Linked DNA regions of Drosophila melanogaster. The protein of the gene in region 1 interacts with the protein of each later gene in a pairwise test. Each region holds a gene or a part of one and is shown on either strand. Other genes may lie near its edges.

Region 1 (11,978 bases):
CTACGATGACCAGGGACTTCTTGGTGGCCTTCTTCTCGTCTGCGGACATGGCCTGCTTTTGCGGAGTGGCCTGTTGTTGTTGCTGCTGCTGCTGTTGTTGCTGTGGATTAAGATCTTGTTGCTCCTGTGGCGGCACCTGTGGCAACAGTGGAGTAGCCACCTGATCCGGGGAGTGTTCCTGGAGCGCCTTTGCCCTGCCATTGCGCATTGTAATCCCCTCGTCAGCGGAAATGGCTAGAAAAAAAAAACAGAGACATGCAGATGTAATATGCATTCCAAAGCAGAAGTGGTGGTGGTGAACAGAATGCACGGACTAAGGGTTAATAGTCGTTTTTGGCTTCACGGGCTGCGCACTAGCTGCGGGTTAATCACCGTTCCTTCGCTCAGCTGATAAGTAAAAACAACTAAAACAGCACACTCACCCACACCACTGCAGTAAGACATTGTGGCTTTGACACGATGTACGTAAGCCCGAGTTGAAGAAGGAAAATTTAATAAGCCTTCTATATCCGATTTTAATTCACGATTGACTCATTTAGCGTCTAGGCTATTTATCAATTGTTAATGCTATTTGTGTGCCTATTTGCGCGCCAGTCACAATTTGTTGTTCTTCTCTCTATCCGCGTGCCTATGCGTATGTGTATGTGCGTGTGTCTACAACAATGAATTTAATCAATATAAAAAAAATAGGAAGTTGGCTAAAACTGCGTTAACTAGAGTAATTGTAGTTGACTACTGCGCTAATAGCAATTTTTTTAAATTTTTTCTATTGCTTTTCACTTTAGCCGACTTTTTCGGCGAACGATCACGCTTAAAAGTCAATTTAAAATAAATTAATTTCAGAAATTTCCGTCACGACCAGTGTGGCCGAAGGCGCAGTGTTGATTAAGTCCAAGCGTGTACACAGCTACCGCACAAAACTGAACGTGGGTTTCTAATAAAATCTGGTCATACTGTCATATTTAGCGCCACTTTTTAGTTTCTCTAAATTTTATTTATATTTTTTAATGTTATACGTAAATAAAAAAATGTGAGTGTCTGCATAAGCAAGTGAAGTACTTTTTTTGTATCTATAAATATCAACATAATAGTGCCCTTTTTCTTTTTGCCAAAAGACTCCATATTAATTACCACCTCCATGAAATACTGATAGAAATAGTGGAATTAAACAGTGCACTTTTTATTTTGTATGAAAATAGATTTAATAAAAATCTCATCAATATATTTAACATTCTATAATGAAACTACGACCTTCAGTGGGTAGCAAACGCATTCACGAAACTTAAGGGATTAGGTTAACTTGTTTTCATGTAAAAAAAAAAGTACGTTGGTATCTAGTCTAGAATCTGTTAGGAATCTGCTGTTGTCTTGTTTTTGAGCTGACGGTATAGCTGAACCATTTTGCTGCGCTCGGTTTCAAGCATTGACCTCGTAGCCAAGGGCAGATCTTTCCGCTTGCCCTTCATCTGGGCCTTGGTGGGTGCTTTGAAGGCGCTCTTAGATTGGGCAGCCAGCTTTAGTCGACTGCTGTCGTCGTCCTCCGGCCCACGATTTGACTGACCCTGGTCGGGATTCAGCATGGACTTTAGAAGGAGATTGGCTTTGCGTCCTGGACGCGGCACGGTTTCACTTTTTTCCGCTTTGCGCGGCAGGATTTTGAGGGAAGGTGGGGCATGGACGATCTCACCAAATGCCACAGCATCCTGTTTGAATTCTGTTGGCCCGGCATTCTGCTTCTCCTCGGTATCAACCTCTTGCTGGGCCTCCTTGTAGGCCCTCTTCACCAATTCGCGACTGGTCTTCGCATCCATGGGCTTGTGTACGACTTGAACCTTTTTGCGACCCCTTTTGCCCGCCAGCCGTTGCTCCTTTTGCTTCTGCTTGAGCAGCTCGTCGATCTCGTTTTTCGGCCTCTTTTGGACAGTAATCTCCCCGGTTTTGGGGTTTCTGATCACGTTCACACCATACTTGGCCTCGTAGTGGGCTTCCCGTACGGATGCATTGGTCATGCGATTCACTCGGCGCAGATAATCCTCGTCCGTTTCGTTGGCGAACTGCTTGATGTTACGCGTTTCCTTTGAGGAGGAACTACTGCCAGGCTTGGATCCTGGAGAGGATTTGGGCTTATCCTCCCGTCCAATTTCGCCCAATCTTAGCTTCTTGCCCGATTTGGTGGCGTTGGCAAGCTGCTGAAACTGACGGAACTTAAAGGACACCTGCTGCTCATCCTTTTTCACAGGCGGATTGTTCGTTACTTTGGAAAGTCTGAAATGTGAAATGGTGCAGATATTAGTTTAGCTGCCTTTTTCGACTGACTTGCCACTATGAACAAACTTCTTCTCCTTCTGTTCCAGCTGCTTGAGGGGATCACGGACGCCGTGGTGCTTGCGCACGGGAATCTTTCGTTTCCGAGCCATTTATTTTGGGTTTTGGTTCAATTTTTGTAAAACAAACTCGTGGTATCGACAGCATGGGTTAAAATACTAAGCGCGATGCATGCTGACAAATACCAAAACAAACCATAAATATACCAAATCGATTAAAGCTTGGACTCAAACCATTGGCGCCCAGAATTACAAATGAAATATTAAAGTTAAATATATATTAGATTAAATATATAAATGTATTTTACACTATGTATTGTATTAAGTAGTCTTCATATTCCCCTATTTTATAATATACATTTTTAATAAAGATTTATATGCTGTAATGAGAAAAGTATTTTATTGCAAGTGGTAAAATTTACTGTTTGCAGTAAAATTAAATATTTAAAGTCACGAATTTGTCTTAATTTATTGTTTTATTAGTTTATAAGCAACGACAAAATGAAGAATAAGTCTGAAACGGCACTTTCGAACTGAATACGTATGATTTAAATGTACATATGCATATTATGTACGCAAATTAATTTCATTATAAAGCTACAAATAATTTAGCTGAAGTGAAATTTTTTTTGATTGCAAATGGCAATGAATGAATAAGTATCTGGATATTAATTAATTGTCCGTTCTTATAAAGAACATACATTAATTTTTGACCAAAATACGTTAACAATTTAAAGTATGTACGCCGAGGCGGCAGTAGGTGTAACATCATTATCATCGCTGAAGTTCAGCAGGTAATCATCGTCAAAATTGTTGTGGGGCGAGCTGAATCGAAGTGATTGATCATCAAAGTTGTTGAATGTGGACGACGGATGCTTAAAGTAATCCGGCATTGGTTGGCTCATTGGGAACTCCTCCTCCTCCAATTTTAGTCGCTTGCAAGGCGGCGCCTCGTTTTCATCGCGATTGCTACCATAGTTCATAAACTGGGTTGCAGTAAAACGATTAAGAGTGCCCTTGGAGGTGCTGGGTATATCGTCGCTGGCCCAGGAAGATATGTTTTTGAAGGGAGAGAGAGTGTCGACTCTAATTATTTGTGGTTTATCGGAAATTTCATTGGATAGCTGCTCATCAGTCTTCGGGTTTTCGCCGATTTTTACTTGTTTGGCCGCATCAGCCGGCTCCTCCTCTCCTGAAGCCTCCCCTCCGGATTCCTTGTCATCCGATACGGATTCCTCGACTTCTGAGCCAGATTTCTCATCATATCTATCCTGTTCTAGATGCAAAACCTCTTCTGACTTTTCTACTTTTACCTCCTGCTCAAATCCTTCATCTTTCAGCGCCATTTCGAATTCTTCTTCTGATATTTCCTCAAAATCTTCGTCTGTGGCCTCCATTTCGTCACTGTCCTCTTCTAATTCCGCATTTGGGACACCTGCCTCTTCTGAAGGAGAAAGCCAATCGGTCTTCTCAAATTTCTCCTCTTCGATATGGCTTATCTCTGGATAGGGAGAAAAACGCACTTGCTTTGTTGGCGAGTTGGAAATGGCAACAGACTCGACCTCCTTGCATTTGATCAAAATGGATCGCAGAGGAGTCTCCAGCTTCTTAGTAGTGATCTCTCTATTCACGCTCGTCATGGATTTATTGTCATCTGGTCTGATATTCTTAAAGATGAAGTTGTTGAGGAAATCCGAAGCGGACTGAAATGGTGAAATGGTGCTAGCGGATGGAACACCAGCCAAACTTGGTTCAGCGCCCTTAGTGACACCCGTTTTAATCAAATTCCTTTTTTGCAACTGAAAAACGGAAAAGTTATTCACTTGGAATGGATATTTCGCAGCTACTCACCTCTTCCTTCAATTCGTTTATCAGCTTTCCCATCTGTAAAACGCTGACTATCTTCTTATTAAGCTTATCCGTCATACTTCTCAGCGTAATTGTCCACTCGCGATCCGACTGGTCCAGTTGGTCGTCCACTGAGGCTAGCTCCTTATCTGCCTCTTTTTTTAAGGCTTGCTCTTTTCGGAATTCCTGGACTGAAATAGAAGCTACTTGAGAATCATTTAAATAACACAAATGAACTTATACTATCACATAGGGTAAAAAATATTAAACAAAATGTTTTTTATTGTTTATGATTATATAGCATTCAAATGGATTCCGTATTCAATAATACCTCATACAAAATCTTACCGATGCTGCGCGATTCGAGGATTGTGTTCTGCTGATTCTCTTGCTCGGCCAAATCCTCCTGCAGCTTAATTTTGCGCTGGAACTCCTGCTCCTTGCGATGCACCGTGTAGTAGAGGATGTCCTGCAGCCCGGCCATTTCGAGCAGCTCCTCAATTCGCGTGATCTGGAACATACAGTCCTGTATCATGGTGTTGGCCTGTGCCATACCGGCACCGTTATCCTCCACTACCAAGGCGCACTGCTTGACCAAGGTCAGGTCGAATAGCACCTGCTCCAAACGCGGCCCTACAACTGAACAAGCAGAAACATGTATGTATAAATCTTACTTGGAGATTCGCGCATTATGCCCACTCACTCTGCTCCTCGACGATCAATTCTTTCCTTTTCTTGAGTTCCTTCTCGAGCTGCGCCATTTTGGTATCTTTTGGCCAATTTTGCCCCATAAATTCTTTGACAAGTGGATATTTTTCCATATTTTGTCCGTTCAATGTTTCCCCCCGATAAGCTTACAAGTTTGCGCGTTCAGTAATTTATCGGATATCGAATGCTAAGGCACAGCGATCATTGTTGAAAAGTGTCATAGATACTGAAGTCACAGCGATATATATCGCTTACTGTTTTAGAAAACTTATTTTAAAAAGGAATAAAAAAATGTAACGTACCGCTGAATATTAATTTAATTACAAGTTTTATTTGTTTAAGCTTTTTTTTATTAATGTTGTACAAGATTTGTAGAGATTTGCTCATCTCTGACGACAAGTGCCAGTGTTGGCAAACGCTCCGCCGAAAATCAGCTGTAAGCGGTGCTTGTTAAAAAAAAACTGACAGCAGCCGACGGACTTCACATAACATAAGAGCAAATTTTCAGCCTTTTCATTATTTTGGAAACGCCAGAATGCTGACAAACTGTGCCTCCAAAACACTGGCCGCCGTGGTGAGTAGCGCAGCCATCCAAACTGTCCAGTAATTCGCGGTGTCAACCAGGGAAGGCAACCTGTTCCCCGAGTTATATAATTGGCGACAGGAAAACAATAACATTAAGGATATGTGTTGTTATTTGCAGCGCGCCAACATCCGGGCAATTGCCACCAGCAGTGCCCGGGCCAGCGACAATCTGTTCGTCCATCGCGACACACCGGAGGATAATCCCAACATCCCGTTCGAGTTCACGGCGGAGAACAAGAAGCGCGTGGAGGCCATACTCAGCATCTATCCGGAGGGGCACAAGCGCGGCGCCATGATCCCGCTGCTTGATCTGGCACAGCGCCAGTACGGCTGGCTGCCAATCTCTGCCATGCACAAGGTGGCCGAGATTCTCCAGTTGCCCAATATGCGCGTCTACGAGGTGGCCACTTTCTATACGATGTTCATGCGCAAGCCCACTGGCAAGTATCACATCCAGGTGTGCACCACCACACCATGCTGGCTCCGCGGATCGGACGACATCCTGGAGACCTGCAAGAAGCAGCTGGGCATCGGCGTCGGCGACACCACCAAGGACAGGAAGTTCACCATCTCGGAGGTCGAGTGCTTGGGCGCCTGTGTCAATGCGCCAATGGTGGCGATCAACGATGACTACTATGTAAGCAATTCTAATTGCTAAATGTGTTTCCTGGTCATTTGTTTGTAGGAAACGCCAGTTTCACTCTCAGCCTCGTCCAGCGTTTCAATCTTAATGCGCTGAAATCGACTCTATATTGTGCAAACATTGCTAACGTTTTTTTTTTACTTTGCAGGAGGATCTGACATCCAAGGACATGCAGGACATCCTGAACGACCTGAAGGCGGATAAGATATCGCCCCCTGGGCCACGCAACGGACGCTTTGCCAGCGAGCCAAAGGGCGAGCCCACTTCCCTGAGCGAGGAGCCCAAGGGTCCTGGCTTTGGTCTGCAGGCCGGTCTGTAGAGGATGAGCAAGGAGCAGAACCTATCACTGATTGTCGAACGAAAGTTAAATAAATGTTAAGCAACTTATAGAGGTCATTGATAAAGGATTTTTGGATTTTTTTTTAAAAATATGCTCACTTTCCATTGGAAAGTTTCCATTTTGAAAGGTTACACATAAAATAATAACTCCCAACGAACTCGAGAATACTAGTACATTCAATTAGATGTGGAAGATCGCCAGAACCCCAATGCAAGCCAAATGTGCGTTTTTCATATCTTGACCAATAAATGATTTTATTTTGTAGTGGAAACGGCAGGTTCCCATTGCTAATTATAATGGATGTTTACTATTGCATACGTACGCATGTTCCATTACTAATTATAATGTTCGCTCATTATAATTGTATGTACAATGGCGTACGTACGTAAGAACGAATATTATGAATTAAGATGATTGGAAGAGTAGTTGAGAGGCTATTTTCAGCTGTGGCAATTGACCAATACAAACATCAATTACTCAAAGGATAAAACTAAAGCTACAGAAATGATGCCTTACATTCTACGCTGGTTGAGTGCAATTAACCAGATATAATACTACATGTATGTACGCACTGTGATGCAGTCGATTGCCTGTCCTTTTTACTTATGTACTAAAATCCGAATTTAATATTTAGTTATTTGTGTTGCCCGTAAAGTTGTCCGCCAATAGTCAGGATTGTGGACATGATGTGGATTGGCTCCGCCCGCGAGCTTTTTTAAAACCAATAACGATAAGGGAAATTTTCCGTTAAAATCTAACTGGAGCCGCCATGGGTCACCTTTCCGCGTACTTCGGTCCGCATGTGTTGTAATATTATATGTAAAAAAAAAAAAGTGTACTAAATTCCTACATGGATTTCCTTCCTTGTTGCCCTTCCTCACTCCTCGCCGTAGAAAATGCTGAAAGTATAAAGGTTTATTGACATATGAGTAACATGGTTGAGTGTGGATATCAAAACTATAAACAAAATAATGAAGAAATCAGACACAATGCGTGAAATTAAGCAACGAAACGGGCAAATATAAACTGAAAGTATCAACTGAGGAATAACTGAATTTAATACTTCACAGCTGTGTCGTTATTCTAACCTTATTGTGTATATAGAGATATTAAACGCACCGGTTTTTGGCGGAAGAGCGCTTCGAGGAGCGTTCAATACGATTGTGCAGATTTGTCCTGGGATAGCATTCATCGACGAGGCGCTCGGTCTTCTTGGGCGATTCGCGCAGCTCCTTAACGTCCACGTTCTCCTGGGTTGCTTGTTTCCGCATAAACTTTTCGATAAGCGCATCGCACGCCAGATTCTTACTCGGCTCCCAGGAATCATCCTTCGGTCCATACTTCTTCCATCGGATCTTAAACATGTCGCCCTCCTTGGTGGCAACGTGATCAAGAATTTTTTCGACTTCCCATTGCTTTTCTGGGTCGATTGAATCGTCGGCTTTCTTGGTGCCGGCGTTCCGTCGACCACGTCCCTTAGCCTTCTTAGCGTTTGGCGAGGACTTCGATTTAGCTGCAACCTTCTGCAAAGCAGCAAAGATAAAAAAGTTGGACTTCATTGATCAAAATACTGTCCTATAAATAAAATGAATCTTAAAGTATGAGGCATTTTTGGCCAAGATAACCGCCATATAACGAAATTACTCTCAACTGACTACACTTTCTCATCAGCGTTTCAGTGTAATGTTTTAAAAGCATACATTTTTATATGTACGCCAGTTAGCGCTAATGATTTCGAATAATAGTACAGTCATCATAATCTAACCTTTTCGAAAGGTTTTGAGTCTCAATGTTTTGTAATTGCTGACTAGAATTTCGTAGAATTTACTGAGGGTTCAATATCTAATTGGGTCTAGTATTTTTTGATTTCTCGAATTGATGTCTCACCTGGGGTTGAGCTGATTTCTCATCCTCTGTTCCAGCATCGACATCGGATTCCGAATCCTTTTCAGCAACCTTCTTGCCATTTTTGACGGAAGAAGTCGAAGCCCTGCTCAGCTTGCGCTTCTTGATCGGACTTGATGCATGTGCAGAGGCTTTGGAGGTGGAGGGCAGTTCATTGCTATCTTCCGTTTCACCGCGCACGGATCGCCGTGTCTGGCGTTTGATATTTGGCTTCCTTGGCGAACTGTCGGCACTAGGGTCTACATCGGAATGATTAGCATCATCATCCGAATCCTCTATAACGATTTTTTTGCCATTTTTGCGGGGCGAAGTGGTGGCGTTCCTGGCCTTGCCCACCTTGCGCTTGTTCCTTGCAGCTGGTACATCCACGTTGGAGGTAGAGGTCTGGCAATCGCTGTCTTCGCTGTCAGAGGCCACAGTCAGTTTGGCCTTTCGTTTGTTCGGCGTCTTCCTGGACGATCGACCTGTCCCATTGGACTTTTGCTGGTCAATCTCCTCGTTTTCGCTCTCGTTGGCGACTCCGTTCCTGCGCTTACTTTCTGCCACCTTCTTACTCGCCTTGGCCATAATGCACTTGTTTATCCGGTTGTGTGACAACGTCCAATTTGCTCTACGGTGGCGATTTCAATTGCCGCGTACCAGCAAAACAAATTCTTTATAGAGTTTTTTGACGACTGTACACTTGGCAGTGTTACCAGACTGCAAGAAACAAAAAATCACGAAGTCGGGATATGCAGTTTTATAAATATATATATATTTATATTTCCTGGGAATATTTATTTAATGTTTATCAATCGAGATCCCGAGATCGAATCGAAGTAAGAAAGTAAGAAAATTAATTCTTTCCAAATTTCTAGAAACGGTAATACAAATTAGTGGTCGATACATTCGACTTGAAATGCGAATTAATCGATTGAATAATCGTTTCTTCTCTCATCCCTAATTCCAACCGCGTGCGAATTTCAATACGTTTCGAAACGACCGCATTTTGGTCAATAAACAGAGGGTATGCAGCGCCAGAAACCCAAGGGACCCGGCAAACCGGGTTCGCGTTTCAAGCCGGGATCCGGCACGTTCAAAGGAGCTGGTGGTGGCCGGAAAAGCGGCGACAACAGCCAGAAGCGTCCGCGCCAGGAGATCAACAAGTCGCGACTGGCCGCCACCGAAGCGGAGATCCAGGACCTCAAGACCAAATACGCAGAGATCGATGCTACTGCCATTAAGAAGTTCGCCCAGTTTCCGCTGTCCAAGAAGACCCAAAAGGCACTGGCGGAGTCCAAATTCGTGCATCCCACGCAGGTGCAGCGGGACAGCATTGGACCCGCACTGCAGGGCAAGGATGTGCTGGGCGCGGCCATCACAGGCAGTGGCAAGACACTGGCCTTTCTCATACCCGTAAGTTGGTCCTCGTCCCTTCTTCGAAAGAAATTGCCGGCTGTAAGTTATATATGCAATGGTCCATTTATTGCAGGTTCTGGAGCATCTGTTCATGAACAAATGGTCGCGCACCGATGGCGTTGGCGCTATCATCATCTCGCCCACCCGCGAGCTAGCCTACCAGATCTTCGAGACCCTAAAGAAGGTGGGAAAGCACCACGACTTCTCCGCCGGCCTCATCATCGGAGGCAAGAACCTGAAGTTCGAGCGCACTCGCATGGACCAGTGCAACATACTGATCTGCACACCCGGAAGGCTGCTGCAGCACATGGACGAGAATCCTCTCTTTAATACGAGCACCATGGAGATGTTGGTCCTGGATGAAGCCGATCGCTGTTTGGATATGGGTTTCCAGAAGACCCTGAATTCAATCATAGAAAATTTCCCACCAGTGCGTCAAACGCTGCTATTCTCGGCCACGCAAACGAATACGGTGCAGGATTTGGCGAGGCTTAATCTAAAGGATCCGGTCTACGTAGGCTACGGAGGAGCGACGCCAAGAGAAGAGCCCAGCGCCAGCACGAAGAAGACTCCGAACACAGCTGTCTTGGCAGTTCCTGAGCTTTTGCAGCAGAGTTATGTGGTGTTGAACCTGGAGGACAAGATCACCATGCTGTGGTCGTTCATCAAGAACCATTTGAAGCAGAAGATCATTGTGTTCGTGGCCAGTTGCAAGCAGGCCAAGTACCTGTACGAGATATTTTGTAAACTGCGGCCGGGTAGCCCGCTGCTGGCTCTCTATGGAACGCTCCATCAGGATCGTCGCATTGCCATCTACGAGGATTTCCTTCGCAAGAGCCACGTCGTTATGTTCTCCACTGATGTGGCATCGCGCGGTCTGGACTTTCCTGCCGTCAATTGGGTGGTGCAGTTGGACTGCCCGGAGGATGTTTCACAGTACATTCATCGAGCTGGACGATCTGCGCGGAACAAGACACGCGGCGAGTGTCTGTTGGTTTTGACACCCAGCGAGGAGGAGTACATGATTAGTGCGCTTAAGGAACAGTTGAATATCGACATTCGTTGTGTGCAAATCGATCCCAAGAAGCTCTTCTCTCCGCGCGTCAAGATCGAGGCCTTTCTGGCCCAATTTCCCGAACTGAGGGCAACCGCCCAGCGCGCCTTCCTCTCCTACATAAAATCCGTGTTCCTGATGCGCAACAAGCGCTTGTTTAATGTGTTCAGCCTGGATCTAGATGCATTTGCCCAATCGCTCGGCTTGGCGGTTACGCCGCGTGTTCCCTTCCTCGAAAAATTCCTGTGGCGCCAGAAGCAGCTACAGCAGCAGAAAGAACAGGGTGATAACGCAAAATCGATCAATCCATTGCTCAGCAAGCTGACCAAGCAGCAGAGCTTTGGCGGCGGTGACGAGGATGAAGAGAACAGTGATGACGAAGACTTTATCAAGGTGAAACGTAAGGATCACGATGTGGAAGGAGAGCCAGTGAAGCTGGACGAAGAGGATGACACTGAGAATGAGGCAGAGGCCCCACTTGTGGTACCCAAGCGCGAGAAGCTGGTAACCAAGGCCTCGCTGGCCAAGAAGGCGCTGAAGAAGAATCTGCAGGTCAACTCCAAGCTGAAGTTCGATGACGAGGGCGAAACTATGGCAGATGATCGCAGCCAAATGAAGGCCTTGAGTGCCAGGCAAAGAACAGTGAACCAAGACGACGACGATGGAGGCATTAATCTAGTGCTGTCCAAGGCGCTACTCACCGAGGAGGATCAATATGACAAGCAGCGATTCCGGGAGCTGGTCAAGAAGCGCCACAAACTGCAGCGCGAGAAGCTGCGGAAAAAGGCGGAGGAGGCCAAGGGCAGCGACGACGAAGAGGAGCAACAGGACGATGACAATGCGGACGATGCTGGCAGTGAGAGTGACCATTCAGTGGACCTCTCCTGGCTGCCGGATCCCGATAAGGTTTACAAAAATAAGCCTAACGCTTCGGATCGAAATGAATCCAAATCAGAGTCCAGCGATGCATCCGATGACGAGAAAGCTGACGACAGCGACGGCGACGACGACGACGTCTCCGACGATGAACCCGCCTACAAAAAGTCCAAGCTGACGAACAAGATGACTCTAATGGACACGGAGGCCATAGCGGCCAGTCTTTTGGGTAGCTAAGTGGGGGAATAAATTAATGCCAACTACTTTGTAAAAATAACCGTGTAGCTTAATAGAAGT
Region 2 (7,365 bases), on another chromosome or scaffold:
CGAGCCGATGAGCGAAATCTGGATCCACCAGGCCATCCACACAATCGAGTATATCCTTAGTACCATCTCACACACGGCCTCATATCTTCGTCTCTGGGCCTTGTCCTTAGCTCATGCCCGTAAGAATCTGCTAAGTCAGTAATTGAATTTGTACTTCATGCAGATCTTATTTCAGAGCTATCGGAGGTGCTGTGGACTATGGTGCTGGCGATGGGACTTCAGATGAACGGCTACGTGGGCGCCATTGGGCTGTTTTTCATCTTTGCCGTTTGGGAGTTTTTCACCATCGCTATCATGGTCATGATGGAGGGTCTTTCCGCCTTCCTGCACACATTGCGCTTGCACTGGGTGGAGTTCATGAGCAAGTTCTATGTGGGAAACGGATATCCGTTCACGCCATTCAGCTTTAAGGATATTTTGATCGTCGTCGAAGATGATTAGAACCATCAGGATAGCCATCGTGATTCGCTCCTTGAAGAAGGTTTAATTAAAAAAGCATTACAGAATAAAAAGTACTTTATTTGTCAAATTATTTGGAAAACGCAGCAATATTAAGGATTATTTTTTGGAAGATGAGGTACGACCGTATTTTCCAATGCACCTTTGGCGATTGTTCAAGTGTTATTTGTTTTCCTGTACTTAAATTGCAGAAATTTTGGATTTTAAGTCTTCGATTATCCCACTGTGGAAAAAACAAACATTTGGGATACATGTTCTTGTACGGTTTTTTTATAACTCCTAATAGTTACTCACATGAGGTCATGTTCGATCTGGCCTAGAACACGGATATCATTAGCCATTGACTTTTGGGTGGTGTTAACAAATTCTCGCTTCTTTTTGAGCTCCTCGGTCTTTAAAGCCGTCTTAGCGCGAATTTCTTGCGTTTCTTTCTTGGTGTTAAGTATGGTCTTCTTTAGATCGTGGTAGTTCTGAAATAGAAAATATTTGGATAGAATTTTACAAACCTGCAAGATTACTGGTTTCTTGAGGAGATTACATACCATCACGGTGAACTCATCGAAGCATTTCGTCTGCTCCTGCATCTCGGCCTTGACCTTGAGCGCCTTCTTGCAATGGTCATCGTAGGCCTGGGAGACGTTTCTCTTGGCGGTGACCGCCTGATTGAGGCTCTCCAGGATCTTGGCGTTCTTCGTATGCAGAAAGTGGATGTCGTCCACAAGATTCTGGGAATTGGTGACATGGGTTAAGTCGTTCAAAGTGGTGTACTTCTCGGCAATCAGGACATCCAACTCCTTCTTCTTTTCATCGACCAGCGCGGTACGGTGATCATTTTCGGAGCCCTACAATAATATCAAAATGTATATAAATTTTAACTAAAAATGTTTCCTTTCTTAACTTACCAATTGGGCCACTGATTTCTCAATGTATGCTGTCACTTGGTCATCTTCCTCAGGTGGGACCTCAGTTTTGGAGTCTTCCTTGTTCCAATCTTGGTTACTACCCATTGCTCATGTAGTTTTGGATAACAATTTGTTTAACTGTAATAATAATTGTCGCAACGTTCTATTCAAGTTTTGGCGAAATTTCTGTTTTGACGTACAAAATGGCGGTCAACTTAGTGTTGGAAAACAGCAGATAGGTCGATGACGATAGCAACTTTCTACACACTTATTGGTGATAGATCTGTTGATGAGCGCGCTATTTAAATTTACACCAATTGGAAATATTTACGTTCTAGTCAAAGAACACAAATACTTCATAACTTTAATAGTTTCCATATCTGAAATTGGCATACATTATATTCACATTCATGTTCATATATTTATGTATATCACAGAAACTGTGGACGATCGACTCTGACTCTGGACTTGTGACTCTGATCAAAAATATAAATATATATAATAAAAATATATTCTTCTACATGTTTCACACTTTTCAGCGAATCTAATATACCCTCCTTTTACTTTGTGAGTATAACTGAAAGCTTTGACGTGATTTGTTTTGCAAAATGGTTCGTAACATTAAACTTTGTGTGAGAAACCTTCTTAATTTAAAAAAATGAGACGGTTTCTCTTCTCTTTTCTTCTAACAAACCGTGACCGCCAGCGAGGATGCCGAAGAACTGGCCTCCGCAGATTTACCCCAACCTTATTGGGTCATCTCATAGTTCATTGATAAGCACGGCATTCCAACCACGGCCCACTTGTATGTGGGTTTGGGTTACGTTAGTGGTGCATTGGAAGAAGGTCATCATATTGAGGGCAGCGATCAGCGCAAAATTCTTGCGGATGGCAGCGAAATCAGATGGAAATGATCGAGTGGGGAGTTTATTTAGAGGTAGTCATTATGAAACTCCGGTCAGTTGTGGAGCCATCGAGCAACAGACAGGTCTCCGGTCTTTCCATTCGTAATTCTGGATTAAAACATGTGGCATTTGTGTTTGGCTCTTTTGGGACTGGCGGTAGTGTGCTTTGCGGATACACTGGTTCAGCTCCATGTGAATCGTCCTTACAACGATGTGAACGAAAAGTTTGTCAGTTTTGCCGTTCGTCCGGAGGATCTGTACGATGCCCTGGATGGCAAGAACCGCAAGGCGGTGACCAATTTGGCGAATCTGCTGGGAGATGCGCACATCAAGTTCGTGGGAGATTTTTACTTCGCCAGCAATGCGCCAACTAGGCTGCGAAACCCCACCAAAATCATTTGGAAGGGGTTCAATCGGTGGTCGCGGTAAGTTGGTGGTGATGGCTTTCCTCCCATTTTCTGATCATCTATCTGACCTTATTTTTCGAAGGGCCGTAAACTGGACCATGATCATCCCGGTGCCTTATGCGCCCGATGATTGGGACTCCATGCATACGCTGAAGATCCTGAACACCTCCTATATGGTTGGCATCACCGACTGCATCTGGCAGCTGGGCACAGACTTTGGCACCTCCAGAGCCAAGGACTACGTCCAGGAACTTCGAACTCTCAAACTGATGACGGATACTTTCAAACCGTATGTGGACGACTGGCGACTAATGGGAGCGGACATTTCAGCTGGAAGCAGTGCTGATGAGACCAAGAGATACGTAGATATGTCCAAGGATCTGAATACGGCATTTGGATGGACGCAGTAAGTAGTGAGATTGGAAGTGAATGTATTTATGAACATTATAGAAGTAGCATCTTACCTTTTAATAATTATTTTGTTCCAACTGTAGACCCGCAAACATGCTGCCCAAATCAAGCCTGGGAAGCTACTTGTACGACAGCGATCCTGCCCTGCGAACCCTTCAGCAACAGCGCGTTCCCTTGTGGCTGACCTTGCCGGAGGAGCGATCCTCGCAGAGATTGGTGGGCGACGAGACCACGGATGCCTTGCGGTGGGCCCAAACTATGGGAGATGCCGCCGCTAGTGGATTCGATGTTATATTTAAGCGAATGAACTTGGTGGACTTCGAGCGACCAAACTTCAGTCTGTATGTAACTGCTTTGTTCAAGAAGGTCATGGGATCAAGGGTGTTCCCAGCCCGACCTCTGAACGCCTTTGCTCCGAGCAACAAGTTGTATACCCATTGTGCAAATGCCGTATCCGGAGGATTGGCATTCATGGTGGTAAATACGGAGGAGCAGCCAACAACGATTACTGTGAAGAGTACCAGTAGTTTGAGCAGTAGCGAGATTTGGCAGTATGTACTGACTGGCCATGATCAAAGGGTCCAGCTGAATAATGTCCGCTTGCACTTGAACACCACTTTGCGTCCCCTGATCAAACCCATTGATCCAACAAAGCCACTGCAACTGATCACGCCCAGCATGGCGGTGAGTTTCTGGGTGCTGCCCGATGTCAATCTGGAACACTGCCAGTTCACGGAGATCGAGGCAGGCGATTCGAGTGGGGAGTCCTCCAAGGAGAAGCGCCGATCATTCCGCTATAGTTCCGCCGATCGGTTACTCCAACGATTGATCGAGGAAACTGCAGTTGCCCGAGGCTCGGTTCAGAGTTCTATTAATCGCAATCGGAGATTTGTCGTTGATAAGGAGGAAACGTCACAGACCCTACTAGATCGACTACTGGACCATTTCAAGGATGACGGTCCGCTGAAGAGGGATGTGGGTGATGAAGTGAACAAGTCCAAAGAACAGGCTATTAAGCCTCATAAAGCTCTGGCCTGGCTGTATCAAGTGCTCGAGCACACCCGTGACATGGGCAAAAAGCGGGAGAGACGCGACACATCCAGCTATTCCGGGCCCTTCTTCTACAATCGCCAGGGTAAGAAGACAGCATTGACGAAGAAGATTACTGAGATCCGGAAGCCGGAAAAGAAGAATAAGCCCCTTTTCGACTTCGATGAATTCGATGAGGAGAAGTTCTTCAAGCGCATTGGAGAGAAATCCGAGGAAATACCCACTTACACACGGCTTCCAGAGGGTGATGTCCACCTGAAGCACATTGAGACTGTGGATGGGGAGGTGGAAAACGAAGAGGAACTTGAGCGGGAGGTACCCAAAAAGCGCAGGACCAAGTCCAAGAGTCAGCTAAAGATCATTCAAAGGGAGGACAAAGAGGATGAACAGGAGCAGGAACCGGAGCAAACAGAAGGGCGTCCCAAGTTGCGTCTACTGCCCACGGAATTCTTTGAGGCCCTACCAGCTCCCAAGCAGAACAAGCGATTAAATCTGGGAGCCACCTTGAACTCACTGCTATTTCCGGAACCCTTCTCCAGCAAGGCCACCATGGCCAAGGCTAGTCTGTCCCAAAAACCCAAGTCTGTTGAAGAGTCCGAGCCCGAGGAGGATGTGCAACCGGTGCCAAGTGCTAGAAGGCGTCACTCCAGGCTAGGTCACGTGGCCAACGACTTTTTGCAGGCCCAAAAAGAGCTTGGAAAGCATTTCCTCAGCCACATCAACGAGCATGAACACGAGTTTTCTCTAGGAGATGAGGGCATGCGGGAAAGTTCCCTGGAGTCGGCGAATGTCGGTAGGAAGTCCCTCATACAGGATCATTTTGAGGGAAAGAAGGCAACGCCTACTCTTCATTCGAAATTGCCTCAAAAGCCAGCCGATGAGGGTATCACTTCCTGGTGGGATTTACCAGCTATGAGAAGGCGGCGTGCCGTACTTAACACTAATTCCCTGGCTGAACTGCCCTCCAATGCCATAGACAAGGCAGATCGCGATGAGATGATGCCGCTGGGAAGGTACACCTACTACGAGTACAAGATGGATCACGAGGCAGAGAAGGATGCCAGCCAGCCCAGGGAGGAAAAGGAATCCAAGATCATGAGGATCAGCAGCAAGAATTCGCTGGCCTCTGGTCGTAGTCTGACTAAACTCTCCGAAAGCCTCGTGAGCACTATGAAATCAAAGGTATCTCGCTTCATCAACATCATATCCAACCATATGAACGAATGGTACAACACCTTAACCAAGCACTTGGAAACGGATGCGGAAACCCAACCACCCCGCCGACAAAACAGCATTGAGAAGTAGAATGACTTATATTACCATATGACCTTGTTTAAACTGCCAGCATTATAACCGAATGTAAATATATATTTATTTTCAAACATTACTGCATTCAAAGGAATTATATTTGAGCGATAATTCTAAGGGAATTATATTTTTCAAATAAAGCTATATACAGGACTAAGGCAACGAACTAGACGGGCTTAGACTAAGCTTGTGGTAGATTGTTGAGCATTCTTTATTGTACTTGTGAATATGTCATCTCTATAATAAAATGCATTGAATTGAAAAGAATGTTGATATATTTCAGTGGTATCTCGGTTAATGATATATGAAATGAAAAATAAAATAGATTTTTATCTGACATGTTTATACAATTACCCGTAGTACTTCAAATAGTAATAAAGTCTTGGTCATTAAAAAAGTTAATTACTATCCATTATTATTTTCTACATTATTTCAAGCTCATCATTCGAGCTGCATAACTAGAAAAGAAGCTTTGCGAAGCCCCCGACAGGTGGCTTTCTAGACACACTTTCTTGGAATCCACTACCCAGATCTTTCTCTTACCGCTGGTAACTATGTATTATAGTTTGGCTCCACTCTGTGCTCGCTCTTTCGCTGCGAGTGAACCGTTCATGAAGACGATCCCAAAGAGGAGCCCGGAAAGCCGCTTGGCTAACCTGTTACCATGGCTATAAGTGCAATAACAAAATCACCGCGACCACGGCAATACCAAACCGGTGGAGACGATCGCGCATTCTCCGCAGCCTCGGCTTTATAATCGGAATTCCGACTTCAGTCTCCGATTAGTCGTTCAAGGCGAAGGTTGTGGCACTAGCTCTTGGATCCACCAATTCCATTTCGCAGCGCAGATATAGTCCAAAGTGCAGGTCAGCAGAAGTTGGAATAAATTATAGATCAGCCAACAGCCAAAACAGGTGAGTTTGCACTAAAAAACTCGTCTCCGACTGGCAAAAGTTGAGGAACAAAACCCAAAAACGGGTCACTTCTAGACTTTTTCATACATCTATAGATCTTGTTTCTTTTCGAGACTGCATTGTAGGGCGTGGTTCGGTTGGGGGGGTTCTTAAATGGTGCATGCAAGCGTAACCAGAGCCAGTCTTCGAGTCTTGAGGAAAGCTCTTGGAAATCTTTGTGACGTGGACGGTGGGGGAAAAAAAAAACAAACAGAGAAGAAAAAACCAGAAACTCAAAACGACATGAAACTTCAGACTTTCTTTCTTGTTCAACCTTCTTTCGTTTGGGCTGTCAATGAACTTGGTTGAATGTTATTTTTTTCGGCGTTTCATCATAATAAGCCATAATTACGCACATGTGTGAAAGTGAAAGTGTAAGTTTTCTCAACAGTTTTCGAAATTGATTTATTGACAGTCACTGATAAACGATTTGAATTGTGAAAACCTTCGCCGACTAACCAATATCCCCAAAACCATGAAACCCCAAAACCCAAAACCAAACTCGTTTCGTTATGCCCTAAGACAATCGTCTGGCTTTGGCAGCTTCGGTTATTATATAATCTGATTTGCATGTTGACACCGATATATACGTATATGAAGATACAATATATAGTATACACACCTCGGCATATTTGTAGGATGGGTTTCATCTTCGGTTGGCTGTCGACCGAGCACTATGTGCGCGACATCTTCCTCATGACTTCAGTGGCCGCCATAGTGGCCACCCTGATGAGCATTCGGTTCTATCTGCGCATCACGGCGGGACGATGTTTCACCGAGGTAACGAACGCACCTCACCCAATCCAAAAAACCAAGTCCCATGCTCCCCAGAATCGCGACACGACTCGAATATTTCGCACTTTATATGGCTGTTGCTCCCACTTCCGCTGCGAATTCTTTTCAGATCTTGTAGATGAGCTGTCATATACATACAAATGATGGTGGGATAGTTTACTAAAACAGTATTCGG

The links. Proteins that work in one complex are often made in the same cells at the same time.
Region 2: the proteins of corolla (region 1) and cona interact in a two-hybrid assay, tested with the Drosophila melanogaster proteins (one study listed by BioGRID).

The regions. Positions count from the first base shown.
Region 1 is NC_004354.4:17,627,007-17,638,984, forward strand, and holds corolla (corolla), read right to left. Parts: upstream 5,042-11,978; 5' UTR 4,994-5,041; coding exon 4,876-4,993; intron 4,812-4,875; coding exon 4,521-4,811; intron 4,364-4,520; coding exon 4,176-4,363; intron 4,124-4,175; coding exon 3,056-4,123; 3' UTR 2,785-3,055; downstream 1-2,784. Other genes in the region: stas (stasimon), read right to left, coding at 1-234, 423-444; CG8326 (uncharacterized protein), read right to left, coding at 1,350-2,265, 2,335-2,417; ND-24 (NADH dehydrogenase (ubiquinone) 24 kDa subunit), read left to right, coding at 5,416-5,454, 5,584-6,102, 6,257-6,427; CG8289 (uncharacterized protein), read right to left, coding at 7,326-7,347, 7,568-7,971, 8,336-8,920; CG5800 (uncharacterized protein), read left to right, coding at 9,362-9,748, 9,825-11,918.
Region 2 is NT_033777.3:18,380,023-18,387,387, reverse strand, and holds cona (corona), read right to left. Parts: upstream 1,561-7,365; 5' UTR 1,467-1,560; coding exon 1,362-1,466; intron 1,302-1,361; coding exon 1,002-1,301; intron 930-1,001; coding exon 754-929; intron 683-753; coding exon 640-682; 3' UTR 501-639; downstream 1-500. Other genes in the region: Vha100-4 (vacuolar H[+] ATPase 100kD subunit 4), read left to right, coding at 1-119, 176-441; CG14309 (uncharacterized protein), read left to right, coding at 2,387-2,691, 2,756-3,079, 3,168-5,439; CG7675 (uncharacterized protein), read left to right, coding at 7,035-7,175.